4 linked regions of the Notamacropus eugenii genome follow. The protein of the gene in region 2 binds, or shares a complex with, the protein of the main gene of each other region. Links are inferred from orthologs where the notes say so. Each region holds a gene or a part of one and is shown on either strand. Other genes may lie near its edges.

What was found.
Region 1: SF3B2 (region 2) and RNF113A share a complex: the UniProt entries of both Homo sapiens proteins name them as parts of the minor spliceosome. The link is inferred for Notamacropus eugenii from reciprocal best matches to the Homo sapiens genes SF3B2 and RNF113A.
Region 3: SF3B2 (region 2) and SNRPG share a complex: the UniProt entries of both Homo sapiens proteins name them as parts of the minor spliceosome. The link is inferred for Notamacropus eugenii from reciprocal best matches to the Homo sapiens genes SF3B2 and SNRPG.
Region 4: SF3B2 (region 2) and SNIP1 share a complex: the UniProt entries of both Homo sapiens proteins name them as parts of the minor spliceosome. The link is inferred for Notamacropus eugenii from reciprocal best matches to the Homo sapiens genes SF3B2 and SNIP1.

Annotation. Positions count from the first base shown.
Region 1 is NC_092879.1:43,546,166-43,552,542, reverse strand, and holds RNF113A (E3 ubiquitin-protein ligase RNF113A), read left to right. Parts: upstream 1-4,676; 5' UTR 4,677-4,766; coding exon 4,767-5,816; 3' UTR 5,817-5,857; downstream 5,858-6,377. Other genes in the region: NDUFA1 (NADH dehydrogenase [ubiquinone] 1 alpha subcomplex subunit 1), read right to left, coding at 4,409-4,510. UniProt on the Homo sapiens protein: Required for pre-mRNA splicing as component of the spliceosome. As a component of the minor spliceosome, involved in the splicing of U12-type introns in pre-mRNAs. E3 ubiquitin-protein ligase that catalyzes the transfer of ubiquitin onto target proteins.
Region 2 is NC_092873.1:18,739,854-18,747,778, reverse strand, and holds the start of SF3B2 (splicing factor 3B subunit 2), read right to left. Parts: upstream 3,023-7,925; 5' UTR 3,008-3,022; coding exon 2,851-3,007; intron 1-2,850. UniProt on the Homo sapiens protein: Component of the 17S U2 SnRNP complex of the spliceosome, a large ribonucleoprotein complex that removes introns from transcribed pre-mRNAs.
Region 3 is NC_092872.1:631,381,442-631,388,533, forward strand, and holds the start of SNRPG (small nuclear ribonucleoprotein G), read right to left. Parts: upstream 3,013-7,092; 5' UTR 2,832-3,012; coding exon 2,800-2,831; intron 1-2,799. UniProt on the Homo sapiens protein: Plays a role in pre-mRNA splicing as a core component of the spliceosomal U1, U2, U4 and U5 small nuclear ribonucleoproteins (snRNPs), the building blocks of the spliceosome.
Region 4 is NC_092876.1:81,740,478-81,748,062, reverse strand, and holds the start of SNIP1 (smad nuclear-interacting protein 1), read right to left. Parts: upstream 3,015-7,585; 5' UTR 2,934-3,014; coding exon 2,629-2,933; intron 576-2,628; coding exon 473-575; intron 1-472. Other genes in the region: DNALI1 (axonemal dynein light intermediate polypeptide 1), read left to right, coding at 5,330-5,410, 6,105-6,253. UniProt on the Homo sapiens protein: Required for pre-mRNA splicing as component of the spliceosome. As a component of the minor spliceosome, involved in the splicing of U12-type introns in pre-mRNAs. Down-regulates NF-kappa-B signaling by competing with RELA for CREBBP/EP300 binding.

The sequences.
Region 1 (6,377 bases), on a different chromosome or scaffold from region 2:
CAGACTGGGGAAGGTCTTCCTCTACTGTCTTCTGTCCCTAACCCACAGGTTCCACTAGCAAAATATGATAGACACCTACTCCCACCTTTGTCCATTTAAGTCCTATGATTCTCCCTAATTGAGAAACATCCCCCTGCACACCAAAAACAATATGACATTTAAGGCTTCAAGGTTTCACTGGCACCCCAGTGAGAAGGGATAAATGCATTAGTCTTTACTATGCCTATTTCACAGATGAGGAAACTGAGGTAAGAATGGTGAAATGACTTGACCAAGGTTATTTAGACAGTCAATGGCTTAGGGTGGATTTCAACTTAGGTCTTCCAGAGGAAATTCTTCCCGGACATTTTTCCTTCCCTAACCCATACCTTCTGCATCCAAGAAATGATGCCCTTCTATTCCCACCTTTGTCCATTAAAATTCCATGATGCTGCCTATTTGAGAAACACTATCCTGCACAGGACACAGGATAGTATATTTAATCCTTCAGAGTTTTACTGGGAAGCCTGTGAGTTAGGACAAATGCACTATTCTTCACTGTGCCCATTTTACAGATGAGGAAACTGAGGTAAGAATGGTGAAATGACTTGACCAGGGTCACTGAGCTACTGAGTGTCTGAGGCTGGATTTGAACTCACGTCTTCCAGAGGAAATTCACCCTGGACTTTTTTCTGTCCCTAAGCTACAGCTTTGGCACCCAAGAAATGATACCCATTTATTTCCACCTTTGTCCATTAAAATCCCATGAGTCTCCCTAATTGAGAAATATCCCCCTGCAGACCAAAAATAATATGACATTTAAGGCTTCAAGGTTTCACTGGCACCCCAGTGAGAAAAGAGAAATGCATTAGTCTTTACTATGCCCATTTCACAGATGAGAAAACTGAGGCAAAGAGGCCGAAATGACTTGCCCAGGGCTACGAAGGTAGTAAGTGACTTAGGGTGGATTTGAACTCGGATCTTCCACAGGAAATTTTTCTAGAACTCTTTTCTGTCCCTTACCCACAGCTTCTGCACCCAAGAAATGATATCCTTCTCTTCCCACATTTTCCATTAAAATCCCATGATTCTCCCAGATTGAGAAACACCACCCTGCATGTCACAAATAATATTACACTTAATGGTTCAACATTTCACTGCAATCCCATGAGATACAGTAAATGCATGGGCCTTGACCATGCCCATTTTAGAGATGAGGAAACTGAAGTAAGGAGGGTAAAATGACATGTGAAGGATTATTTAGCTACTCAGTGTCTGAGGCTGGATTTGAACTCAAATCCTTCTAAGGAAGTTCTTTCTCTACTGTCTCCTGCCCCTAACATACGGCTTCTACTCTCAACAAGTGAATTACTCTTTACTGGGCCCATTTTATAGATGACGAAACTGAGGCAAAGAGGGTGAAATGACTTGACCAGGGTCATTTAGCTACTGAGTTTCTGAGGCTGGATTTGAAATCATGTCTTCCAGAGGAAATTCACCCTGGACTTTTTTCTGTCCCTAACCTATAGCTTTGGCACCCGAGAAATGATGCCCTTCTAATCCCCTCCTTTGTTCAATAAAATCCCATGACTCTCCCTAATTGAGAATCATCCCCTTGCAGACCAAAAATCATATGACATTTAAGGCTTCAAGGTTTCACTGGCATCCCAGTGAGAAAGGATAAATGCATTAGTCTTTAGTAGGCCGTGTTACAGATGAGGAAAGTGAGGTAAGAATGGTGAAATGACTTGACCAGGGTCCTTTAGCTAGTGAGTGTCTGAGACTGGATTTGACCTCAGGATACAAGTAATATTATACTCAATGCCTCAACGTTTTACTGGCAACCCTGTTAGATAAGTCAAATCCATTGGTCATCACTGTGCTCATTTTAGAGTTGAGGAAACTGAGGCAAGGAGGGTAAAATGACATGCCCAGGGTTATTAGGCTAATCAGTGTGTGAGGCTGGATTGCAACTCAAATCTTTCTGAGGAAGTTCTTCCCCTACTCTCTTCTGTCCATGACCAACAGCATCGACTGAAAAAAAATGATACCCACCTATTCCCACCCTTGTCCATTAAAATCCCATGACTCTATCTAATTGACAAACATTCTCCTGCAGAGCAGAAAAAATATCACATTTAAAGCTTCAATGTTTCACTGGAACCTCAGTGAGATAGGATACATACTTTACATACATTCTTTACTATGTCCATTTTATGGATGAGGAAACTGAGGCAAAGAGGGTGAAATGACTTGCCCAGGGTTATTTAGCATGTTACTGTCTGAGGGTGGATTGGAACTCGGGCCTTTCTGAGGAAGATCTTGCTGTACTGTCTTCTGTCTATATTCCACAACTTCTACTCTGAACCAATGATATCCATTCATGCCCACCATTGTCTATTAAAATCCCATGACTCTCCCTAATTGAGTAACATCCTCCTGCAGACCGGTAAGAACACTACATTTAAAGCTTCACGGTTTCATTGGAACCACAGTGAGATAGGCTAAATGCTTTAGTCTTTATTATCCACATTTTACAGATGAACAACCTGAGAGCCTGAGTCATTAGGTCACTTGCCTTCCCTCACTGGAAATGTATGAGAAAGGGTTTGAACCCAAGTCCACTAATTCTATCACTCTTTCCATTATGGTGTCTATCAGTCCATCAATGAGCATTTATAAAGTACCTACTATGTGCTAGGTATTGTGCTGTGTTTTCAAATAAAACAGTTCTTGCTCTGGAAAAGCTCACATTCTGAGAGAAATAGCATGCACATATACAACCCACCCTAGACTCTCACCTATCAACTATATTATATATGAGGCAGTAACAAAAGCTAAAAGGGACAAGGAAAGGCCTGAAATAGAAGATATTTTGGGTAGGATTTGAACCAGTGGTCTTCTAGAATCCAAGTCCAGTACCCTATCCACTACACCATTCCACCCTCTCAATAGACGTTGTAGATTATATGACATCTGTTGTTATTTAACTGTGATCCCTTCTAAGGGTAGGTCTAGTATCTGACTCATCTCTGTATCCCCAGCACCTAGCATTGGCCCCTGTACACAGTAGCTTAATAACCGTCTGCTGAATAAATGGAGTGAATATAGTTTGTGGGAAGTAGATGGATTCTCTCCTTTCCATTTGGCCTTGAACCTCTCTATCTTAATCTCTATTTCTTCTTGCCACTTTCTTTGTATCTTCCCGTGATTTTCCCACTCCCTTCCACAGCCAGCTCAGGAGCTCCTTTGCTATTACTAAGAGCCCTTCAGCTGTCTTCTTTTACTTAAAAAATAATTTACACATTTATATAGATATGAATATTATATATTTACATATCACTTTCATTTCTGAATGTCCCCCAACCTCCACCTCTACCTAGTGAGCTATCCCTTATAAAAGAGAACAGGAGGGAAAGAAGAAGCATATTGGCAAAAACTCACATATCTAAGTCTAACAATAAGTATAGCAAATGCTCCACACTCATAGTGAGGGAGGGGAGATAAAAAGGGGATGAGCATTTATACAATTCCTACTATGTGCCAGGAAAAGTGGCTAAGCTCTTTTAGAAATATTATCTCATTTGATCCTCAATGGCAAGCCTGGGAGGTAGGTGCTACTATTACCTCACTTTTACAAATGCAGAACCAGGGCTAGCAGGGGTGAAGTGACTTGCCCAGGGTCACACAAATAATAAGTATCTGGGATGAGATTTGAATTCAAGTCTTCCTGACTCCATGCCCAGTACTCTATTTATTCACTTCACTGCCTCAGATCCCCTATCTCTGTAAAAAGGGGGTTCTCATTTTCTCAGGCAACCAAGTGTTGCCTCCAACATTCTATTTACATTACAGGAAGGGAAACCAGAGCTTCTCCCTCAGTAAAATGGTATTTTGGCCAGAAACTAAAGAGAATACCCCTTTACTTGGAACAGAAAGGACTTACTTTCTGGCATGTCACCTGTGTGAGGAAGATGGAAAGCTACTAATGGAAAGGGCACTGGATTTAGAATCAGAGGACTTGAGGTTGAATCCTGTAGGCCCTTGGATATGTCACTTCACCTCCCTAGGACTCAGTTTTTTCCTCTGTAAAATGAAGGGGGGAGGGGTTGAATTGGATAGGCCCCTGGGTCCCTTCTAGTTCTAATTCTAGGATCCTATGGGTGACCTGAAAGAAGTCCCTTCCCTTCGCTGGGCCTCAGTTTCTTCCTCTGTAAAATGAGGAGGTTAGACTCGATAGCCCCTAAGGTCTCTTCCAGCTCTAGAGCAAGGACCCTGGCCAATTCCCTTCCCCTCTCTCCTCAGTACGGATTGGCCTCAAGGCCAGCTCGAGATCTCTGGGTCCTTTCTCCAGTCTCGGAGCCGCCCCCGGGCTGAGGAGCCCAAGGAGACCACCTCCGGGTCCCAGCTCAGGTTTGTGGGGCCCTACCTTGCCGCCATTGCTGTACTTTTGAATAAGCGCGGTGGTAATTCCCGGGATCGTCAGACACACGCCCATCACGGCCAGTCCCGGCAGAATTTCGAACCACATCTCGAGAAGAGGCTCGCGGCCACAGACAGTTTAGACACTGTTACGACGCCGGTCGCGAGATAAAGGTGACATGAGTCACTTCCCGTCCCAGCAACCCCCGCGCCGCTCCACCCCGCCAATCAGCGGCGACGACCAATCAGCGCCCGCCGCCGTGCCGTGCCCCGCCCGCTAGTAGCCTCTTCCCGACAGGAAGTGACGCCAAGACAGGAAGTGAATCGTTGGCATCGCGGAACTTCGCAGTTTCAGAAAGATCAAGATGGCCGACGACCTGTCTTCTGAAGCTCCGGCTGTGCCGGTGTGCACCTTCCTTTTCAAGAAGTCGGCCCGGAAAGGCACTGCGAGTCGCCGGAAACGGCCTGCCTTCGAGAAACCGTCGGGGGAAGGTGGCGGCAGCAGCAGCAGCAGCGATGAGGGCAACGTGGTGGTCCGGCGGCAGAAGAAGCGCCTGGTCCCCAACCCCATGATCCAGAAGACGCGCGGCAGCTACCGGGAAAAGAAGGCGCCCACCTCTTACAGCGGCGGCAGCAGCGGCGGCGACGACGAAAGCGAGCCTTCCACCGTGAGTGTCGTCTATAAGTCCACACGCTCGGCCAAGCCCGTGGGCCCCGAGGACATGGGCGCCACTGCCGTCTACGAGCTGGACACAGAGAAGGAGCACGATGCACAAGCCATCTTCGAGCGCAGCCAGAAGATCCAAGAGGAGCGACGGGGCAAAGAGGATGATAAAATCTACCGGGGCATCAACAATTACCAGAAGTACGTGAAACCCAAAGACACTTCCATGGGCAACGCCTCATCCGGCATGGTAAGAAAGGGCCCCATCCGTGCTCCTGAACATCTGCGTGCCACGGTGCGCTGGGATTATCAGCCCGACATCTGCAAAGACTACAAGGAAACCGGTTTCTGCGGCTTCGGAGACAGCTGCAAGTTTCTCCACGACCGCTCTGACTACAAGCACGGCTGGCAGATCGAGCGCGAGCTGGACGAGGGTCGTTATGGGGGCATCGACGAAGACAACTACGAGGTGAGCAGCGATGAGGAGGACCTGCCTTTCAAGTGCTTCATTTGTCGTCAATCTTTCCGGAACCCCGTGGTGACCAAGTGCAAACATTATTTCTGCGAGAGCTGCGCCCTCAGTCACTTCCGCACCTCACAACGCTGCTACGTCTGTGACCAGCAAACCAACGGGGTTTTCAACCCAGCCAAGGACCTCATTGCCAAGCTAGAAAAATTCCAGGCAGAAGGGAAGGCCGTCATCTCCGATCCCTTAGAAAGCTCAGATGAAGGTGCAACCCCCATTACTTAAACCTACCGAATGGTAACAATAAAATCTCTCTCAAAGTTTAACATGAGTGGAAATTTCTGACTCAAGTGTCGCGGGGTTGGGGAGGGGGTGGAGGGACGGATGAGAAACAATGGGGAGGTCTGGATTACCTAGTGCCCATGAGGTACCATACTAAACTGGAATGGGGGAGGGTAGGCATAGGGAGGAGGGAAGACTTGGAATGCTTGGTACCCATTCTGGCTAAACTGGAGTAGTGTGGGAGAGGCTTGGAGTGCCTGGAGCCCATGAGGTACCATACTAAACTGGAATGGGGCATGGGAAGGGGGAGAAATAGGTATAGGGAGGAGGGAAGGCTTGGATTGCTTGGTACCCATTCTTCCTAAAGTGGGATAGGGCAGGGGAGGCTTGGATTGCCTGGTGTCCATGAGGTACCAGACTAAGCTGGAATGGGGGGGGGGGGTAGGCATAGGGAGGAGGGAAGGCTTGGATTGCTTGGTCCCCATTCTGGCTAAACTGGGGTAGTGTGAGGGGGGCTTGGATTGCCTGGTGCCCATGAGGTACCAGACTAAGCTGGAATGGGGG
Region 2 (7,925 bases):
TCTGTGAAGTCTGGATTCAAAGAGCCACATGTGAAGCCCTAGAGGACCATGTGAACATCCCCAACAAGTAAGTTCTTATCTACCTTAGATGAGGAAGAATTCATCAACTAACAATTAATCAAATCAACACCTCCCACATCAAGTCCAAACTTGTTTCTTGAACCTTCCAGGTTCTGCTCTCTGGGGTCAGTCAAGAAGTCTAACAGTCCTTCCTCCCAATGACCCCCTTGGCCACCTTCTTCAAACAGACTTCACGTGCATGAACTCGAAGGCCTTCCCCTTCCCGGCTGCCCTCCTTTGCACCCTCTCCTTTAGCCTGACCTAGACAAAGCCCAGCAAGCAGGCTGCCCCTCTCATTAAGACCCAGCAGTCACACTGGCTCTTGGGGCTGCCACACCGTCCAGCTAACCCATCAAAGCCCCAAGGCCCTTTTTTATGTATTCCTCATCCAGTTTTGGTGCACCTGCTCTTCTGAATCCAGGGCTACGATTTTACATTTATCGCCACTAAATTTCATCTCGTCATATTCGGCCCAACGCTCTGGCCTGCCACGATCATTCGATAGTCTGGCTCTTCTTTACAGCAATCTCACCTGTAAACTGGCACCACCCACCATCTCTGCCTTGATCCTGGGCAGTGATTAGAAGTGCAAGCCGCTAGGCTCTCCGAATCACTGTCCTGGCGCTCCAGTGCCAAGAGACTGAACCTTTCATGATGCTTCTGATTGGCCAGACAGCCCCAAAGCCCTCTGATCGTATCATAGTTAAGAAAACAGATTTCTGCTTTTCCTACAATATGGAAAATGGCCATCTTTTTTCAAATGCAGCAAAATCCACCCTGTCTCCTTCCTCTGTCATCACTGCTCTGTCTGCCCCAACACCATCACTTTTACTTAAGAGTTTCACCAGCCTCACAGCTTTGAGCTCGGGCGCCTGCTGTGCTGTGGCTCTTCTCAGTCCCCTGGGGGCTTCCACTGTCTTAAATCAGGCAGTGGATGTCCCTCTAAGAGGGCCCCACTGACCCCACAACTTCCCTTTCAGCTCCTCATAGAAAAGACTTCTCTGGGGGCTCAGAAGTCCATTTGTCAGATGTGGCATCTCCCACGCATGCCCAATGCCAGAATCTGCCCTCCTCAGACCCAGAGTGCCCAGCAGACCATCCTTGGCTGTCCCTGCCATCTCAAATACATGTTCCAAGATGGACTGGACACCTCCTCTCAAGCATATCACTTCCACCCCCCAAAATTGGGTGAACCTCCTCGTTACTAAAAATCTGACCCAGAAACAAACTGGTCTATTTTAGATGAGTAGTATTATCACAAAGCAACAAATAGCTGTTTGGCTCCTAGAAAAAAAACAATGCTCCAGAATACATGCAAATAAATGGATCTCCCGTGCGCTGTCTACTCTGCGGACAATATCCTGCCTGACTCTGGGCTTCCCCATCCCTCGGTTTCTCGGTTTCCAGTCATGAGTCTACCTTCTCAATCAGGCCACTCCACCACTGCTAGCTTTGGGCCTAGCCTGCCTCTTCTGAACCATACTGCCAGTCATGAGGTCCCATCCTACCAAGGCTGAGGTCAAACCTGCCACAATGCCAACAACAGCCACAAGCAGACAATGCTTAAAGGTTCTGCAAACCTCTCACAACCCTGGCAGGCAGATGGAATTAGGATTCTCATCTCACAGAAGAGGAAACAGAGACCAACAAAGGATAAATGACCGCCCAGGCTCACAGCTGTAGGTGTCTGAGGCCTGACTCCAGGTCGGGTAAGTCTCTCCACTGCAGCACCCAGCTCATCTTACTTGCTATGCCAACATTAGACGTTTCTGTAGAGAGATCTGAGGGCACAGACTGGATCACTGGCCAAGTCCAGGTGTGGCCACGGCTCTCTATGGACAGGTTCGGCCTTCCCCATCCTTTTCGACTTAGGAGTTCTTTGAATTAGATCTGCAGGTTTCCAGGTGGATACATTCCTATCAGTAATCCTTGTTAAGTGCTGAGAGCCTGCTTTTCTTATATGGGGAACCTACTGTGTGCCCGGCACTGAGTGGGCGCTCCGGTCCTCACAACAGCCCTGCCAAGTAGGTGCTGTTAGGATCCCTATTTTGCAGGTAAGGAAATTGAGGCAGGCAGAGGTTAAGTGACTTGGCCAGGGTCACACAGCCAGTGAGCGTCCGTCGGGTTGGATCTGAATCCAGGGGTTTCCTTCCCAAATCTGCCTCTCTTCTGAACCCTCTGCCCGGGTGTCCGGCTTTGTGGATGTCTGCCAGGGCTCCTTATAACGCTCTCGCTCGCCCCGGGAACCAGGACAAGTGGGGAGTACAGGAGGCCCGGCCGGTGGTGTTCCCGCAGGACTCGGCACCCATTTCTTATCCGGTCCCGCTCCCCGCACAAACAGGGCCGGGAGCATTCAGACCCCAGAGCGCAGCCCTGGGGGAGGGATACCCCCAATCCTGCCGACTCTCCCTCCACCCCCGGCTCCCCGGGATCGGCCCCCCACCCCGGGGCTCGCAAGAGGGCCTGGCCATGGACCCCCTCCTCTCCGCCCACCGATCCCATGAGCCTCTTCGGGGGACGGTCCCCCGAACGCACCACACGGCCCATCCCCCTGCCCCCTCGGACCCGGGACACTAGGGGGCTCCGGGCTTGGGCCGAGGCCCGCCAGAAGCGTTTAACTGAACTCTCCCCGAAGCTCCCCCCCCACCTCCCCTGGGCCCCGATCCAGAGATGGGGGCTCCCCCGCCTCGATTTCCCCACCACGCCCCCCAGCCCCGAGGTCTCCTCAGCTCCCCCGCGGGCCCCAGGCCTCCTCGCGAGGCTCACGGGCCTCGGCGCCGGAAGGCTCACCTTGGATGGGGGCTCCAATTTCCGCCAGCTTGGCCTGCAGCTCGGGCGCGGCCCAGGCGCCGTAGGGGGCCGGCGGCGGGGGCGGCGGGGGGGGCGGCGGCGGAGGCGGCGGCAGCTGAAGCTCACCTTTAGGCGCTTCGGGATGTTCCGCCGCCATCTTAGCGGCGAGAAGGCGCGCGGCCCAGGGGACTGAAGAGCTACGGCCTGCCGGAACTTCCGGAGGCGACCAATAGGAGCCGAGCCTACGGGATGGGAACAGCCAATAGAAATGCAGAGAGGGAGGGCGGCTTCGTGGAGCACGCCGGGAAGCGTAGTCGGGGAAATCCGCGAGGCGCATGCGGAAAGGGGTCTGGTTCGTGGCTAAGCCTTCTGGGAGTTGTGGATCGAAACCAGGGGAAGAGAAGACGGGCCCCTACGTCAAGCCGTTGCCAAGAAGCGGTCCCGCTGCCCCATGGGAAATGTAGTTCCCCACCGTTTCCAAGAGCCATTGTCAGAACTGGGCTGTTGCTTCTCCTTTCTGGGGAGAAGTGAGGGACCAGGGGTGTGGAGTATCACGCCAGACAGCGTCATGGGACCCTAGAGCTGGACAGATGAGGACATTGAGGCCCATGGTCGGGAGGCCTGGAGGCAGATTCGAATCATCCTCAGACCTGCCCTGTGACCCTGGGCAAGTCACTTCCCCCGGGTTTGCCTGGGCGGGGGAGGGGGGCCTGGTCGGTAACTCTGATCCACAGCGGCCCCTCCCGGCAGGAGGTGGTAGTTGCGCGGAGGCGCCACGAGGCGCTCTGTCCAGCAGCGCTCAGCATCTTCCCGGATCGTGCTCGCCGAGGCAGCAAGCGCTGACTGCGTGGTTGTCGGGGGGCCCGCACCCCCTTCCGTCAGCCCCGCAGACGAGCGTTTACATACAGATCTACTTCAACAAGTACAATGCCCACAAATGGGGGGGAGGGACCGGAGGCACCCCGGCTTCCCGGGCTCCCCCCAGCAATCGTGGCTCCGGCACCCCAGCCCCGCTGGAGACCGCCTTCGGCCGCTGCCCCGAGGCGGGGTCCAAGAGAAGGAAGAGGGGGGAGCCCTTCCCCTCTCTCTGGGCAAACTGAACTTGATCCAAAGGCCCCTCGAAGGTGATTCCATTGAACCGAGCCCAGGTTATGGAAAGAGGGAGGGGATGTAACATCAGTCACAACAGCGCCTCAGGACTTAAGCTGTGAAATCATAGTTTAGTGAACTATTTACTCAGCGATGAAGTAAACTGTTCAATTGATAATGTTTAATATAAAATTTTGGAGTAATCTCTTTGTTCTCTCTGAAGTAAACTCAGAGAGTGCCTTTTCCTATGTCAGCAAAAGCCAGCCAAGGCGACTCTACATTCCTTAAGGAGACCTTTAACCTAAGACACTATATCTTGAATAATGGGACTTTCCTTGAATCTTATGATCTATAGACACATACATACTATGTTATGAATAATGGGACTTTCCTTTGATCTATAGACATATACTATGTTATGGCATATTAATGATAAAGAAAAAATAGACATCTTAGGTCGTAATTTCTATTGAACATTGTTTACCCTTTCCTATGTCAATTATCTGTTTAAGGGAGGAAGCCTCCCACTTACTAGTGGTGGGGTTTCTTTCCTTATCACCGAGACATATGCTTACCCAGCTTGGAATCTCAAGGCCTGACTAACATTGCTTTGTTAATTGTCCTGTCTTACTGAATTTATGATTTGCTTAATTAGGAGAGTTTCTTTCTCATGGCAAAATGTACTTAAGACAGATGATTTCTGTACTAGATAGTCAGAGTCACCTCTGACTCCATAGTGCTATGACTGTTATCTTTAAGAGGGAATTAATTAATTAATTAATAACGCATGCCTTTAGTCTGATGTTTTTCTTTAACCAAGTTTTCAGGTTAACACAATAGAGTAAAGCATAGAAAGGTCGTTAAACAAAACATATCGTCTACTATATATATATGTATGTATGTATCTCCTAACAGTCGGTATGTCATGACACAGAGCATATCGCTGCATCCCCAAAGTCGGGGGTCCCAGGCTAGGGTCTTCCCTAGTATGACTCACCCTTAAGGGATAACAGAAAATACCAAGGCATCCACCCCCAGGTCACAGTGTCCTTAATCAATACACAGTGTTCAAGTAAAGTCCTCTCTCATCTTGACTGAAGGCTGACCTCCAAACCCTGTGGCTCCTCCTCTGTGGGCACGGACCACTCCCAGCTCTTGCCTGGGTTCACACATAGGAAGCTCTCTGCTCCTGCTCCTTGCCTCAGCTCATGGGAACTGTTCCACTCCTAACTCTTCCTGCTTCTGCCTGACAGCTGGCTCCAGGGGCTCCTTCCTGCAGCTTCTGTTTCTAGGAAAACAATGTTTAACAAGGCTATGACAATGTATATTTATACACATTACCAACCCCATCATCTCAATTCACCTTAACAGCTCTTAAAAGGGGCTTAAGCTAAGCCTCCTTCCATGGGCAGATCTCAGCTCTTCAGCTCAATTCACTCATAAAGACCAACAGGACAGGGCTTCTGTCTGAGAAATTAACACGGATCAAGAGAGGGAGTGAGGACATCGCAAACACTCTTTCTGTTCCCCTGGTCTGCTCCCACTTGCTTCTCTCTCTCGGGTCTGTTCCTCTCTCTCCTCTCTCTTCTCCCTCCAAGCAATTCAATACTAAGTGAGTGAATTAGTTATATGCTGTTTCCAAAGACTCCGGATTCAATCAAAAGCATTTGATTGGCTACAACTCAATCCAAAAAAACAGCAAAAAAATCCTACTTTGCTTGCTCCTTCCAGGAAGGGAAGAAGGGAGAAGGGAAAAGGAGGGAGGAAGGAAAGATGGAAAGAGGGAAGGAGAAAGGAGGGAGCTGCCTTCCAACACAAGCTGTGGGACCTTGGGGCTCAGGCATCCTTATGCCATCTACAGACTGCTGTAGCATATGAGCTTCCATAGATGACCTGCTGTTCTTACCAAACAGAGAAGCAAACTGAGGCCAGAGAAAAGCAGTGACTTCCTCCAAGTCCCACTGGTAGCGCAGTGTCCCTGGCTGTGAGCCTGCCAGACTCCTCGTGATAGGAGGGCCAGACTCCTAGGTCCCTAGAGAGAAGGAAGTGGAGAAATTCCCAAGGCGGGCACCAGAGGGGAGGGCAGGAAGAGTTGATTCAGGACAACACTGCTCTCAATTGTCTGTGGGGAGCTGTCTGAGCCTGCCCCACTCTTCCTGGGCCAGGCACATTCAGGAGCTGAAAGGAGATAGGGCCAAAGCCAGACCCTCCAGGGAGAGCTGTGAAGCATGGACACTGAGACCAGCTCTATTCTGGTCTGCCCTGGCTCGACCTGTGCTGTCCTGTCCCCCCTCAGAGCCCAGCTCTGGTGCCCACCCTTTCCAGCCCCACCCAGGCCTTGCCTGAGATGGCCCTCTGAACAATGGCCCTTCTCTTCTCCCTAGGCCCAGCCTCCCCGTTCCTGCAAGTCCTCCACACAGCAGCCACCGCCTTATCTGGATGATAGCAGTGAGAGCTGGTAGAGACTTCAGGCATAGTCTAGCCCAAACCCCTCACTTTTACAGATGGGGAAACTGAGGTCAGAAAGGTGGGGTCACCAGTCAAGTTTCTACCAGCAGTAAGTCCAAACATGACACGGACAAGATCAGAACCCAGACCCAAGGTTTTCCCTGCTATGCCAAACATCCATGGGAGCCATCTGGGAGGCAGATTGTGAGTGCCATTAGGTGTTTCCTACAATGACCCAGCACATACCTACCTCTGTCCCCCTCCAAGAATGACTTGTGAGAATTGCATTTACCTTCTTCCCCACTGGCTCTGAATGCCAATGTAATGGGAAGAGTGTGAACTTGTAGTCCCAGGACTGGGTTTGGAATATGTGCTCTGCCTCTCATTTTCTCTGTCACCTTGTCCTCAGCTTCCTCATCTGTAAAATGAGAGGTTTCGGCTGGATGATCTCTGAGATGTCTTCCATCTCTGAATCCTATGCTTTCATCCCATAGGTAATGCTTTTCCCTCTCGGGGCATTTCTCAGGACTGAGATTTCAAAAGCTGGGTGGGGGGCAGGGAAGGGGAGAAGCCAGACCTAAGGGAGACAGGCAGGGAGTTGATCCTGGGCCCCTCCCCTTGTTATCAAGTTGAGCTCAGGCATAACCGGTTCCTTTCTTGAAGATATGTCCCAGCTCCGGGTAACCTGAGCCTCCCTGGGAATCCAGATAGTAGGAGCAAAATATACAGCCTAGAGCTGGAGAAACTGAGGCCTGGCAGTACAATGGGGATGAGGGTGGGGTGGGGACAGCTGCCAGAGCTTAAGATGTGACAGAAACTCAAGAACTTCACATCATTTTCTCTTCTCTGATAATTCCTCTGTGGTCCTAACAAGAGCTGTCATGGAATTCCACTCCTGATTGGGTACCTCTGTGGGCATGGCCTGGGTCCACCCATTTCAGGGCCCTCCGTAGACTCAGTTCTGTGCCCAGCCTCTAGTTCCAGGCTCTCTGCCCACACCAGGCAGAGGGAAATACTGATAAAGACAGGGACTCTGCCAACCACTCAAGGGCGATGAAGGGCAGCTGTCCCCAATGCTGGGTCAACAGACTCTCTGAAGGGCCTAGCTGCCCTCAAAGACCATAGGGTCTCTCTACCAGAGGGCAAAGCTAAGGTCTGGGAAGCAGCCCCTAAGACCAGCACTGCTAGAGATCGAAGGCAGGGAAATGGCCAGGATCAAGGATGCAGGCTACGTACCTCTTCCAGGACCGAAATTGAGTGGAGAAAGAGGAAGAGGAGGAGCTGTGGGTTTGGATGGCCATTTGGGAAGGGGATGACAGAGTTTGAGTTTTCCTGTGATGTCTGGAATGGGAGCAGAGCACCTGACAGATCTCTGGGGAGCATCAAGAGAGATGAAGACTGAGCCTCTAGTAGTCTCAGTCACCTCCTGTGTAAAATGGGTACAATCTGGACAGGAAGTAACAACATTAAGGAGTGTGAAGAAAGTGCTTTGTTCAAACACAAGGATTCTGATGGAGAAGATGGCAGTGATGAGCTGC
Region 3 (7,092 bases), on a different chromosome or scaffold from region 2:
AGTTTGCAGTCCACTAAAAAAACCCAGATACTGTAACCATTTCTCCCTATCCTGGCCTTGAGCTCAAACCTTCTCCTCCCCTAACTTTATAAGTGTAAGACTATAACTATCCCTACAGAACTTCATCTTATTGGATTCTGCCCCATGTTTTAGTCTGACAAGATCTCTCTGCTGTCCAGTTTTCATCCAGCACATTAACTATCATCTGCCCTCTTTGAGCCTTTTCCCATGAAAGTGCTTTGCAAAATTTACAGCATCATATAAATGCAAGTTTGTGTTGTCCCTTTCTTTCCACATCTCAAAACTTATCTACAGTAAGTCTTTCTATCTTAGTCTCCCTTTCCCCCCAAGGTGATATATAAGCCCTTGGAATAAGTGTCCTTGATGCTCTCCCCTCCCAGCTCTTTCAGCATTTCACATGACTTACTCCAGTTCAAAAAGCATTTCCCTGCTAACTCTAGAATACAAACTCTTGAGCAAGCAAATTTATAGCTGTCAATAGCCTACCTTTTCAAATGCATTTTGTATTATTTCCCTTTATGTGCTCTACTTTCTGGCTAATGCCCCATTATTCTCTGCATCTATTATTCTACATCCCATTTCTACACAATCATACAAGTCATCCCTTGCTAGCCCCTCATCCTCATGCAGGGCCTCATCTTTGCCTGTCAGAACTCTCATCTTCCTTTCAACCCAACTCAGTTGCTCTCTTCTCCACCAAGCTTTTCCTGATTCCTCCAGTTGTTAATGCTCTTTTCCTCCTCAAATTATTGGTTTTTAACTTATTTAACATTGTATCTACTAGTAGACTAAGTTCCTAGAGGGCAGAGACTGTCAATTTTGTCTCTGTAACTCTAATATACTATGTATACATAATAGGTTACTTATTACAAGTTTGTTGACTCTTAACATTTGGAGCTGGAAATTAATTTTAGAGATTATCTACTCTAATATTTTTATTTTACAGATGAGGAAATAGGCTCAGAGATAAAGTGATTTGTCCAAGTTACACAGAAGACTGGGTACCTGCCTCCCAGTTCAATAGCTTTCAAGGCACTTATATTACTACCACCTCTTTCTACAGGCTTCTTCCTCTCTAACTATAAATCTACTCAGGTGTTTCCAATCTTGAAATAACAAAATCTTTCCTAAATCTTTCTACTCCCTTCAGGTATCATTCTTTCTAAATTCACTAAAACATTTATTAAGCATCTACTATACACAAAAGATTCTAGTCCTCAAGAAACTTTCGGGGGAAAAGGAAATAGGTATTTACATAGGCCACCTACTGTGTACAGGGCAATGTACTAAGTGCTTCACAAATATCTAATCTGATCCTTAAAACAACCTTGTAAGGCAGATGCTTTTATTGATCCCCGTTTTACAGTTGAGGAAACTGAGGCAGACAGAGGTTAAGTGATTTGTCCAGGGTCACAAAGGTTGGATTTTAACCTGGGGCTTCCTGTCTCCAAGTTAAAGGTTCCCTCTACTTCATCACCTAGCTACAACGGAATAAGACATTATGTACAGTACAAGGAAAATTGAGATGGGGAAAGCTGAGGAGAACTGAGAAAAGCTTCATAAAGGAGATGGAAATAGTTGAGTCCTTAAAGTAAGGGATACTTCTAAGGCCTAAAATTTGACTCAACCACATGCAATCTGGTTTTCATACCTAAATACTTAACAAAAATGGCTTTCTCAAAGTTCACGAATGGTACCCTACTTCCCAAAACCATTTTTTGGGGGGCATGCCCCGCTAGATCAAGCCTCTATTTAAGTGTTGACTTCCTCTTCAATATCTTTCCTACCCTTGGCTTTCATGATATTCCACTCCAGGTTCTTCTAATATGTCTAATGACTTATTTTACCTGATTTTTCTCCTCCACCCCACTTTTCTTTTTCATTCTTCATTATAAGGTATGGCTCCCTTGGGTGGGATGGGGAGTGGGATATACAGGGAAATAAAGACAATGTTAAGACAAATGATCAAGACATTTAAAAAAAAGAGAAACAGTGAGCAGTACTTCATGGCACTATGTAGAAGTGGGTCTGGTCCTCAGTTTTCACATCTGTAAAATGAAGGGATTGGTTTCGATGTGCCTGCTTCCTATCTGACTAGGTCTTGCGTACTCATTCCACTTTAAACTCTGCCATCTTTCCACCGTTTCATTCCAAAAGCTACAAGAAAGAACATGCCCCCAAAACGTGTGAGGTAAAAAGAGAACACCAACGAGCAAGGAGAAGGTGGGAAATCTGGCTCCACTTAAACCACCTCTGACAGGTCATTGTCCTTCTCCGAGCCTCAGTTTACTCTTCTGTCAAATAAAGTGGCTGGAATTACCTCTAAACTCAATCTGGTTTTAAATGTCATTCTTTCAAATAGATTACACGGCGATTCAAATCACCAAGCACTTGTTTTAGGCTCCAAAAAAGCCCCGAGGGAATCTTAACGTGGTAGATGCAAGGTCTGAAGGGCCCTGCGATCCATCTATCTATGCATCCATCCATCCATCCATCCGTCCATCCATCCGCCACACCCAGCATCGCCTCCCAAACCTGAGGCCCCTCAATAACCACTGTTCGGGAGAGAATGAATGGAGCGCGAGACACAAGAGGCCGAGAGCGCGCGAGCGCGCGCCCCTCCCCCTCCCCACGTGGCCAGGGGCAGAGAGAAGGCCGGGAACGTGGAGCATGCCGGGAAGCAGAAGCCTCTAATCGGCTTCCTCAGGCCTCCCTCACTAGCCGGTGCAGGCTGAGCTGAACTCCCGGGCCCTCCAACTGCCAGGTCACCGTACTCACTTTTTTAGCTCGGGTGGGTGCGCTTTACTCATTTTGTTTCACTTGCGGCCCTTCGCCTCCTCCCCGTGCAATCCTCGGCTTCACTCACGCTCCCCTTGCCGCCACTGACGCCACCTTACGTCTGGCATCATCGGCTCCGGCAAACCAATCACAAACCGAGCAGCCCCGCCTCGTGCTGAGGCAGCCAACCGAAGCCTGCTGCGCATGCGCACTGCTACAGGTGGGCGGGGCTGGGAACTAGCCCGGTAATTGAACAGTTTGTTGGATTTCAGCGCGGATCCTGAACCTGTCTAGTCTTTTGGGGAAGAAAGACAGAGACCCAGATAGAAGAGACTTATCTGAGGCAGAGGCAGATAAGCAGTTAGTGGAAAGGACTCAAACACAGGTCCCTCTGTTTCTAGTGTCTGCTATTTATTTTATTCGTATATTACATTATTTTTATTTCATTGTTAAATCCAGTCCATCCAAGAAATATGTATTGGGAGTTTACTATGAGCCAGGCGCTGTACTAAGTGCTAAAGACACAATTAATTAAAAGCCAGTGCCTGCCCTCAAGGCCCTTACAATCTCAAGGGGTTGACAACGCACAAAGGAGGCAGGGAAGCGGGGGTTGGGACAGGACTGGGGATTTTCTTGTAAGTTATCTTGTACCATGGAGTCGAATCCAGGTAGGGGAGCAGATCAAAAGTGAGGTCCAGCGTGTGCCGTTTCAGCATCACTCCATACTTCCCTTGAACATTGCATAGGCCCATAAAGGACCTAGGACTGGAAGGGTGCTTAGAGAGCCTCTAGTCCAACTCATTTTACAGATAAGGAAACTGAGGCCCAATGAAGTTGCTCGAGTGCTGTCTACACTTACAAAATGGCCAGGATGGTAATGAGCCTCTCTGAATTTAGGTAAGTAGATCCTCTAATTATAAATATGCACCCTCTAGGCCATACCTGCATGGGAGTCAGGCCCACATCCACATCACAAGGGGAAGGCCCGAGAATCATGTAATCAAGGTGTGAAAATCCATGCTTGTATCGATATAAGCCAGGGATGTGCAGGGATGGTAACTTTGTGAACCTTAAAAGTATCCCGCCTGAGAATGCCCCAAAGAGTAATAAATCAGTCAATGAATCACAGAATCAGAAAACCTGAGTTGAAAGGGATCTAAGTAACCATCTAGTCCAACCCATATATGCAAGGAATCTCCACTATCAGAAAAGTGATCAGCTTGATTCGATAGCCTCTGCATCTGAGGAGAAATTCACACTTTTTTGACAGCTCCATTTCTTAGATTTTCTTCAATACGGAGCCTAAATTTGTCTCTTTGCCAGCTGTCACCCATTGCTCCTGGTTCTGCCCTCTGTGACCACACAGAGCTATAAAAAGTAAAGTGGAGATTTCACTTACCTTATAGAGTTGTTGAGTGTATCAAGTGAGAACATGTAAGGGACCTTGCAGATCTAAAAGTACTATATAATTGCTAGCTACTAACATTATTGGTATTTTAATGCAGCTCAATGTTATATTAACATTTTTGGTTACATACACTGCTGATTTGCAAACCCAAAGATATTTTTTATAACAGCTGCCATCTAAACAAGTCTTCTTACCTTTGTACCTGCTGAAGTCAACTCTTTGTACCTATGTAAGACTTTACGTACCCAAATGTAGGTAGAACTTTACAAATCTGAAAAGAATTCTCTACTACATAACAAGTCATCTAATGGCCTCCAATCAGAGGGCATCCAATACCTTGTGAGGGAGGCCATTTCTAATTATTTGCAAGTTTTTCCTGACATCAACCTTAAATTTCCTCTGCAACTTCCACCCACTGCATCTAAACCACCATTTCACAGATGAGGAAACTGAGGACCAGTGAAGTTGCTCGAGTGCTGACTACACTTATAAAATGGTCAATATGGTGATAAGCCTCTGAATTTAGCTAGGATGATCTTAAGACAAACATGAAGCCTCTTGGACTTCACCTGCATGGACATCACAATAATGAGGCAGGAGAATTATATAATTAAGAGGGAAAAATACCTTCTTTCTGGGGCCAAGGAGAACAAATCTAATCCTTCTTCCATATTACAGCTCTCAGATACTTGAAGACAGCTCTCATGTGCCCCAAACATTCTCTGCTCCAAGCTAAACATCCTTTGTTCCAGGACGTTAATACATTAAGACTTGGAATCAAGAAGATTCAGGTCTGAATCCTGCCTCAGACAGGGTTGTATAACCCTTCAGTTTCCTTCTTTGTAAAACCAGAGGAATACTACCTACCCTCCCATGTTGAGAAAATGAGAAAGAGAAGGCAAACTATTTTGCAAACCTTAAAACATTGTATAAATACTAGCTATTGTATGGCATGAGCTCAAAACCCTTCATAGTCCTGCTGGCCCTCCTCTAAACATCTTCCAACTTATCAATCCCTTTCCTAAATAGCAACACCCAAAATTATACAAAATACATCAGATATGATCTAAACAGAATAGACAATGGAACTACACCTTCCCTACTTTATACTTGATATATTCTGAACCCGCATGTAAGACTTTGAATCTACTTGTACCAAGTTAATTTTCATTTGGCCTGTTCTTTTTTGAATACTGTCAGTCAGCGGATTATCACTTTACCCATTATTCCATGTTGCCATTATTCTATAAAAATGAGGTGTTTTTATAAAGATAAAATTATTTATCCACTCTTAACACCTTGATAGTTGTGATTTTAATGAGTTATATATTATACATAAAGATCATTATCCCTCACATCTTTTTGTTCTTTTTGTCCAAGTTTCCTCATAAATTCTCCCTCACGGATTTATTAGTTTGACAAAAATACAAAATGTTCATCCATCTAATAATAAGAACAAAAATTTAGAATAGGTGTTGAGAGGTTCTTCCTTAACATGATAAAATGTATCTAATCAAAATAATTTCCAGTAGTTAGTAGTTTTGGAGAACTTTTATTTTATCTTTCTGGTTCCCAGTTTTCCTAGGCAAGCTCTAAGGTCTATTAGTGTACAATTCTTTCTAAAAGCCATATTCCTAGAGGTCTATCCCCAGTCACAAGCATTCATCAGGCGTCCCCTGTAGGCCCAGCATTGCTGGGTACACAAATAATCTGACACTAAAGAGTCCCTCAACAAATCCTTTCTCTGGCAATCTCTTCCTTGTTCACTATGGAAATACCTCAAATTCCCTCTGATTCCAGAAGCAAGGGGAAGCCAACAGACAGAACATCTTAAATATAAACTTGCCTCAACACAGCCTTAAGATTAACAGACTGTTACAATTGAAAGGATCTTGGAATTTAGTTTGAACCCCTCATTCTATTTGAAGAGTTTGAGGCCTAGAGAAATGAAGTCTTATGGGAGGAAATGTGTTTTCACTAGAACTGGAATTTATCTTGGTTATCTGAAACCAAAGTAATTCTAATGATCAGATACTTCAGAGAATGTCAGAGTTGGCATCTCTCAACAAGACCTTAAGGATCGCCAGCTAGTCCAGTCCCCTGTCACAGGAGGGCACAGGTCTATGCCACAAAACGGATGCCCAGGTTTCTTGATTTCTACTCTAATGCTCTTCCTGAAGGCATGAACACCTCCAATAAATGTCACAATTCAGTTTAGGTGTAAATGGACCAATTCCTCCATATGTGCTGTAAGTGATGTTTCTGATACCTGTATAAATACATTCTTCACACACTGAGAACCAGGTAAAAATATCATTGTCCAGATGTAAAAAGAAAAGCAGTTCACTAATGGGGGAAGTAAAAAAAATCAAACTATTTATTTTTTTCATCAAACCACTAGGAAAATATGACATAGCCTTGAAACACTGAATAGGAAGGCTACGTTAATTGCATTCAGTAAGAAGTTGGTATAAAGAGAACAAGATCTTTTCCAGCACAATGCCTGGTACTAGCATGTTGCTCAAAGTTTTAACCAACAGTGATTACTGGATAATTGGTGCTAGCTGCATCTTGTATTCTGGAGTAGAAAAAAGCTCTCCCTTGCAACCTGCTTAGAAGTTTAAGTTGTTTTCCTACCCTTTCCTGTCCTTAGAGGTTCCTTTCAACAAGTTGTTTCTGTAGAAGAGCCAGGGTCAGATATCACATCTTTTTCTGCTTTGGGGAAAATTAACTGACCCAAACCTGTCATCCACCATTCCATTAAGCAAGAGGCTTAAGATTGTTCTGTAAGCAAAGAGAGGCTTTCTTTGGCCTTAACTGAAAACCGTTTCATGTTAGTCTCAAAAAACACTAACTGAAGTGTTGTTCTTGTAGTATCTTCCAGA
Region 4 (7,585 bases), on a different chromosome or scaffold from region 2:
AGGTTTTTTTTAAAGTTACCTTCTGAAAGCCTCAAAGACTAACAGTAATAAGCTGTTCATGAAATGAGAGGTGCATTTAAGAATTAGATGACAGAGAGTTACAGCATGTAGACAGTGGCTCCACTCAGGGAAAGATACAACCAGCTGCCCAAAGATAATTTATTCTCCAAGAAGTAGAACCAACAGCACATCATGGAATACCTGCCATGGAATACAAGCAATGGCCAGGGTCTCCCAACTCTTGCTCTGAACCTTAAAGATGATAGTATATGTATTTATGTTCTAAGCTCTTCAAGTAACTAGTTCTTTTAGTGAAAACCAGTCTATATCCTGCCCTTTTCTGTCCATAAAAGTAATGCTGTAACCTTGGGGCTCACTTCCCAATTGAAGAAGAAAGTCCATATTCTAACACTAGTAGGAAGAAATTCTTAGATCAGAACTTAGGGGAATGAGTTGTGTCAATTGCAATTACCTGCTTCACCTTGACTACAGAATGGTGAGGGCTACGGCTTCTCTTACTCCGAGGAGATCTGCTTCTTCTCCCAAAGGACTTGTTTTTCCTTTTGGTTGGTGATCTTTAGAAAACACAACACACATAGGAATTGGTGGATAAGCTTTGAACCTCTACCCCAATTTCCCTCACACAAAGAAAAAAGTTTTTGACATCTCCTGCCTAATCTGCTATGAGTTATCATAGGTTTGTTGAAGACTAAAACTTTGCAAGCATTGGTAAATGGACACAAGGAAAAAAGGTCTACACACGGTAGCAAAAGCTGTCTTCAGATTAGGAGATCCAAATTATTGTCTTAGATCTGCCATTTAGTGTATGATCAGAATAATTCACATTTCTACAGCAGTATACATTTTATAAAATTGTCTCTGTGGCAGCCCCATGAACCAAATAGTATGATTATCCCCACTTGGCAGATAAAACTGAAGCTCAAAAGGGCTTAGACAATGCTGGTCCGGCCTAGAAGAGTCACAGAATGCTGGAGCCAGGACTCTGAACAAAGATATTCTTATCCTAAACTCAGTGCTTTTCCCACTATATTACACTGCTTCTCCAAAAAAATGGTGGGATAGAGGCAAGATAGCAATCACATAGGGCAATGAAATTAATTCTCAAACCCCTATGATTTCATGGTGCAGAAGATACTTTGCAATTAGCAAGTCCTTGAACTCTCAATTTCCTCATCTATAAAATTAAGTTAGACTAAATACCTGGACTATGACTTGTCTGCAACTTCCTCTCTTTCCTTCAAGGTCCAACTCAGATGCCACCTCTTCATTAAGACCCTCCCTCATCACTATCAACCTGATCCCCTCATGTACCGTGTCTTATTTCTTTATAGCTTCATCTTCACTTAACTGAAATGAATGGTCCCTTCAGGATTTAACTAGATCTCAACTCAAGGAAGAGTTTACTGGTAACCTTTACCTCACGCCATCCCCTCAGCCTCATTACTCTGCTTTACTGAAATCTCCAATGCTTCCCTCAGGGGTGAACGTGGCCCTGAGTTTTTGAAGGCTATACTGAAAGTATTTAGTTGGAAGGGATTCAAGTTCAGCATTGGTGATAAGACTGTGTGTCTGATGCTTGAAGACCAGTCTAGATAAATTTGAAGAGGTTCATTACCAGAAGGCTGGCCAAGTGACTGACCACAACGATTCATAAAAACCACCTATTAAATTGTGGAGGAACGCTTCAACTTGTATTAAAAGAAGAGGTACGCATACCAAGGAAACCACAGAATCTTAACAAAACACTGGGGTGAAGGCTGTAGGTTAGTAGTGAAAGGGCTGTAAAGATGAAAACCAGTGGTATAAAATCTTGGGGGTAAAGGTAAGAATAACAACAGCAGATTACAGTTATACTGTACAGTCTACGAATTCCTATCCTCACAACAACCCTAAACGCTGAATTAAATCCAACAATGTCCAGTTCTGTATTCTGAGACCAAAAAATAATGGGAGCGAACAGTTATAAGTCATCACTCACATCCAGAGAGTCCTTTACGAACGTCATCTCCACTGACCCACAAAATAACTCTAACAATTAACGTGGCAGCTAGGTGTCCAAGTGGGGAGAAGGCCCGTTGGACTCATCTGGGAGTTCAGCTCCGGCCTCGGACACTTCCTAGTGGTGTCCTCATCGGCAGAGTTGGAGAAGGAAAAGGAAAACCCCTCCAGCGTCTCCGCCAAGGAAGTCACGAAGCTTCCAACGCAACTGAGCGACAAAAACAGAACCGATGCAAGCACTCGGATTTTTATTTTACAAATGCGAAAACCGAGAGCCAGAAAAAGAATTCGCCTCAGCCAAGGCTAGTAAATGGCGGGGCGAGGATTAGAACCCAGGTCCCTACAACACCACAGCTACCAGACGGGCAGCAGGGGCGCAGGAAGGGTCCTACAAAGGACCCGAGTGTGTGCGCAGCTGGGAAAGGGGCTAAGGGAAGACTTGCTACAAGAGGCAGGACTGGCTGGGGGCTCGACGAGGAAGAGCCTCTGGGGATCACGAAGCAGAGTCAGCAGGGGGCTGGGCCCTATCCCCCACCCCCACCCCCGCGGCGGGAGGCACCGCCGCCACCACCCAGCGTCCCTCCGGGGGACGGGGCGCTGGGCTCGTACCTGCTGCAGCTGCCGGCGCGGTCGCCGGAGGCACGAGCGCCGCGGGCTCGCGGGGCCGGGGGCGGCAGCGGCGCCTCCTCGTCCGGCGCCGGGCTCGGACTTCCCGAGGAGCCGCGCCGGGCCCGGGCCCGTGGCCGGTGCGAGCGGGACGCGGGGGTCGGGCTGCGCCGCTCCTGCTTCACCAGCGACAGATCCGGCACCAGCACGTCGTCCCCCGCCGCTGCCGCCGGCTCGTCCTCGGCCTCCGGCCGCCGCCGGCGCCGCCTCCGCTGCCTCCGCTCCCGCTCGGGCTTCGCCTCCTTCATCCTCGCGGCCCGGGCCAGTGGGCTCCTCAGCGACGGCCCGAGCGCGTACCCCGCGCTTCCGTTTCCGGGGCAGCTTCGATTCTTCTTCCGGCAGCCAAACGGAAGTCGGGCCGCTGGCGGTCACGTTGTGATCGCACCCCCTGGCGGGCGCTGCTGAAAATCGCGCTCTCGAAAGAGGCGAGAGAAGTCTGGGGAAGCCTCACCCCCAAAACAACCACCCATCCAACAAAAAGTTCCGTTGGCCTGTCCCCGCCCCCTCCTCTCCCTCACCACGCCCACTCGACCTCTCCCCGGGGCTGCAACAGCCGCGATTGATGCGGACCCCCCAAAGACCCTCGTCGGACCCTCCCCAGGCGGGCGCTGTCACCGCCCCACGTTCCACAGGAGGAAACGGGCTGGCAAAGGTGACGGCCCGTAAGGTCGGAGGACGGATTCCGGGTCACAGCTCACGGTCGCGCGGCTCCGAGCGGAGGAGTCAGGATTCGAACCCACGTGCCCTTGTTCAGAGTGGCGCCCCCGTATTGCTGGGGAAAGGGAGGCGACGGCGTCAGAATAGAGGCCGAGGAGACAGGGAGCGAGCAGGGTCGGGGTCTGCCCCCTACAGAGCGCGCTCAGAGGACCAAGGCTTTTATTTGCCTTTCTTTAGGCCGGTGTGCACCGGGGCCTGCTTCTGCTACTGGTGCTCAGTGAACACCAGGGAGGAGAGAGGAGAGGAGGGAGGAAGGAGGCTTGGGCACCACGGAGTCCCACCCGTGACCGGGGCCTCGCACCCTCAGGGGCGGTCAGTCCTCTGACCTCCGGTCTTTTAGACTGTCCTGCCTGGAGCCGCGAAACAAGCCGTGCCTGCTTCCTAGGACGTCCAGGGTAAAGCTCCCTTCTCTCCCCGGAGGGACCTTTGTCTTCACTTGCCAGCATCCACCCTGTCAGGGTTCGTCCTTCGTTTTGGAAGAAGACCATGACATCAGAGAAATCCACCCGAGGGTCTCTCCGTGGGAACTTTGGCTGCACCACAAATGACAAGAAATGGCAGCGCTTCTGTCAGTGGTAAACGAGAAGCAGGCTGCAGGGGGAAGGCATGGAGGGAGGGCACAGGCTCCCGTGGGTGAGGCGTGGCCCCGGACTCGTTCCTTTATTGCCCGAGCACTTATTAAGCGCTGACTGGGGGCTGAGTCCTGCGAAGTTCAGTGCTGAAGGAAGATGAAGAGCTCTGGTGGTCATAAGGGGAGAAGCAGCCAGGTGGAATAAAGGGCCAGCCTTTGTTTGGGTCGGGAAGATGGAATGTCACACATAACGGAGGTAGGACGCTGGGCAAGTCCTCTCAGTGCCCCAGGCAGCTCTCGAAGTCTGCAGAAGTTGCGGAAGGGTTGTCTGTCTGAACCATTGGAATATATGGTTTTATGTGTGTGTGTGTATGTGAAATAAATGAAATTTCATGTCAAATTAAACTCCAAAAGAGCAACAGAAAAAAAAACCAGTTTTCATTTGTAAATGAATAAGAAGTGACTTGTCCAGGGTGGACCAGCAAGTGTCTTAGGCAAATTTCAAACCCAGGTCTCTGTCCCCTGCCTTGGCCTCCAACAGGACAGGAGAAGATACTTAGAGAGGTTCTTAATTTGTGTGTGTGTGTGTGTGTAGGACTCCTTTAACAAAGTAAAGTCTATGTTTTAAAGTATTAATAGTGCATTTATATGGCATTTTAAGGTTAACAAATTTGTTTTACAAGTATCTCATTTGCTCTTCACCACCATCCTGGGAGGTAATTAATATCCCCATTTTACAGATGAAGAAACTGAGGCCAGACAAGTCACATGGCTTGTCCAAGATCACACAGCCAGTAAGCGTCAGAGACGGATTGGAACTCAAGTCTTTCTAACTCTATGCATCGTACCACCAGCCACCTGAAATGAAACACACAGGCGTATAAAGAAAAGCAATTATACTGAAATGCAGTTATCAAAATGTTCAATAAACAAGTTCACAGACCCAGAGTTAAGAATGCCTGCCGAATAACGTAAAGGAGACTGTGGTAATTGAGAGCTCTCACTTCTATAGCACTCGTAAATTCTACAGGGTACTTTTCTTAGAAGCATCCTCTGTGCCCCAGAATCACCTGCCCACGGCCACACAGCTAACCAAGTGACAGAAATGAAGTTCCATCTGATGGCTCCTGGGGAGGGCCTAGGCCAGCATTCTTTTCAGCAGACCTGAGCTAAGACCTTAGAGCTGGTGGGGCGCCAGCCAATCCCACAGCTCTCCGATGGCCACGCCCCACTGCTAGCTCCGCCTCCACCACTAGGTTCAAGCTGCTGGGCTCGAGTGGTAGGGACAGGGGGTGGGGCCTCGGTTTCCATGGTGACAGTAAACAAGGCTGCGGAGCCACTGCTGCAGCAGCCACCATGATTCCTCCAGTTGATTCTCTGCTCAAGTATGATACCCCGGTGTTAGTGAGCCGGAACACAGAGAAGCGGAGCCCCAAGGTAGAATCCAGGGCCTGGAAATGGGGACTGCAGGGAGGGAGGGCGGGAGGAGAAGTGATGAGAGTGTGGAAGGGAACAGGGAAAGAAAGAGGAAGATGAAAGTGGAAGGAGAGAGGAGAGGGAGAGTGAAAGAAATAATGGGAGGAGTGAAAAGGAGGTGAAAGTAGAAAGAGTAAAACAGGAGGAGAGAAAGGATGGGAGAAGCAAGAAGAGGAATGGGAAGGAGAAAGGAAGATGTGGTTGGGAGGAGTGAGGGAAGGGAAGAAGATTAAGAGGAAAAAAGACAGTGGGAGAAGCAAAGAGAGGAAAGGTACTATAGGAGGGAGGAGCAAAGAGGAAGGAAGAGAATGTGGGAGGGATGGAAGAGGAAAAAATGAAAAGGAAGTAAGGAGGGTGGGAGAAAATTGGACAAAAGGAGGGACCACAGACATGGATATAGACAAAGGAAAAAAGATGATGGTAGGATGAGGAGAGAGGAAGGAAAGAAAAGGTGAGGGTAGATGCATGGGAGAGGGAAGGAGGAGAAGAGGGATATCATGAGAAGAGATAGCAGAGGAAGATAGGAGGGTAGAAAGGGAGAAATAAAGTGGGAAGAAGGAAATGAAAGGATACAGGAAAAGAACTAGGGCCATGGCTGCCCCAAGGCCAGTTCTGAGGACCAGCTCACTGAACTTCTCTGTCACCTCTTTTCTAGGCCCGTCCCCTGAAGGTCAGCCCACAGCAGCCATTGGCTACAGGGCCAGTTCCACAGCCACCCAAGAGCAAGGCTATCCCTTCTACTTCTGCTGCCTCAGACCCCACCAAGCAGGCTGAAGAGATCCTGAACTCCATCTTGCCTCCCAGGTAAAAAGATCAAGGGATAATCAACAAGCTGGAAAGTCTTGGGATGGACTGGCTTGGCCAAGTTAGCAAAGGCTTATCCTGTGTTTAGCTGCAAGACAATGAGATTTTTGGTCATAGCAACTCTACTAAGATGTCAAGGGAATAGCCACACTCATGAAATAATTAACCCTTGAAGTATTGATATTGGTTCCTTGTGGTCAGACCAGCCAACAGTCCTAGAGAGAGTCCCACAGTCTCTTCTTCTCCCCCTCCCCCCAGGTCCCAGGATCTTGGTGCTGTGAGGGACCTTAGAGGTCACTAGTCCCCTTCCCCTTCCCTGTCATATTTTATAGATGAGGAAACAGAGCCAGGTTGTGAGTTGGAGTGCCTGGTTTCAACCCTAGATCTTTTGACTCTAGAGACCAGTGCTATATGATACAAACAGATAGGAACCAGCTTTATACTCACAGAAGGGTGAAGAGTGGGGAGAGGCACAGGAATTCTAAGTCCCAAAGATACTAGGATCTTTTTTTCCTCTCCAAGGTCACTTAGCTCTAGAACCCAAGGGTCTGAGTCTCCTCACACCAGGGTCCTCTATAATCCATCTATGATCCCAATAGATTCCTCATTGCAGGCTGGAAGGGACCTTAAATATTATTTAATCCTACTACTAACATAGAACTTGAGTCCAGAGACTAGTCTAAGATTCATTAGCCTTAGCACACAAGGGTCACCATGTAGGTCAGGATCCTTCATGTGCCTAATGTGTCATCTTTTTATCCTGGCTGTTATCCTGATGGAATCATAGAATACAAGAACTGGAAGGGACTGCAAAACCATCCAACTTTAACCATTTCATTTTTACATATGGGGATACTGAGATAGGGAGGTGGTCACTTCTTTTCAGGAAGACCTGAGTTCAAATCTTGCCTCAGACACTCACTAGCTGTGTGAACCAGGGCTATATAAATGCTAGTTATTATTATCAATACTATTATTGCCCAAGGTTACACTGGAAGGAAGCTCCAAGGAGGTATCAAAGTGGAATTCTCTGCTTGGGGCTAGATGGAATGATGACAAGAAGCAGTGCAGAGAAGGCTGAGTTGTAAAGTCTTACTTTGCCTCCATTTTTTCTGCCAAGGATAATGATCTCTGGACTGGAAGGGACAAGGGGAAAATCATTATTAGGAAATCAGAGCCCAAGATCAGTGAGGAGATAATAAGAAAGCACTTAGCTGCCCTTGATTGTCTCAAGTCACTAGAGCCAAATGACCTCCATCCCAGGGTGGTGACAGAACTGACTGGTGATGCGATTGAGCTACTTTCAGTGATTTTGGAAAGATTATGGATTTC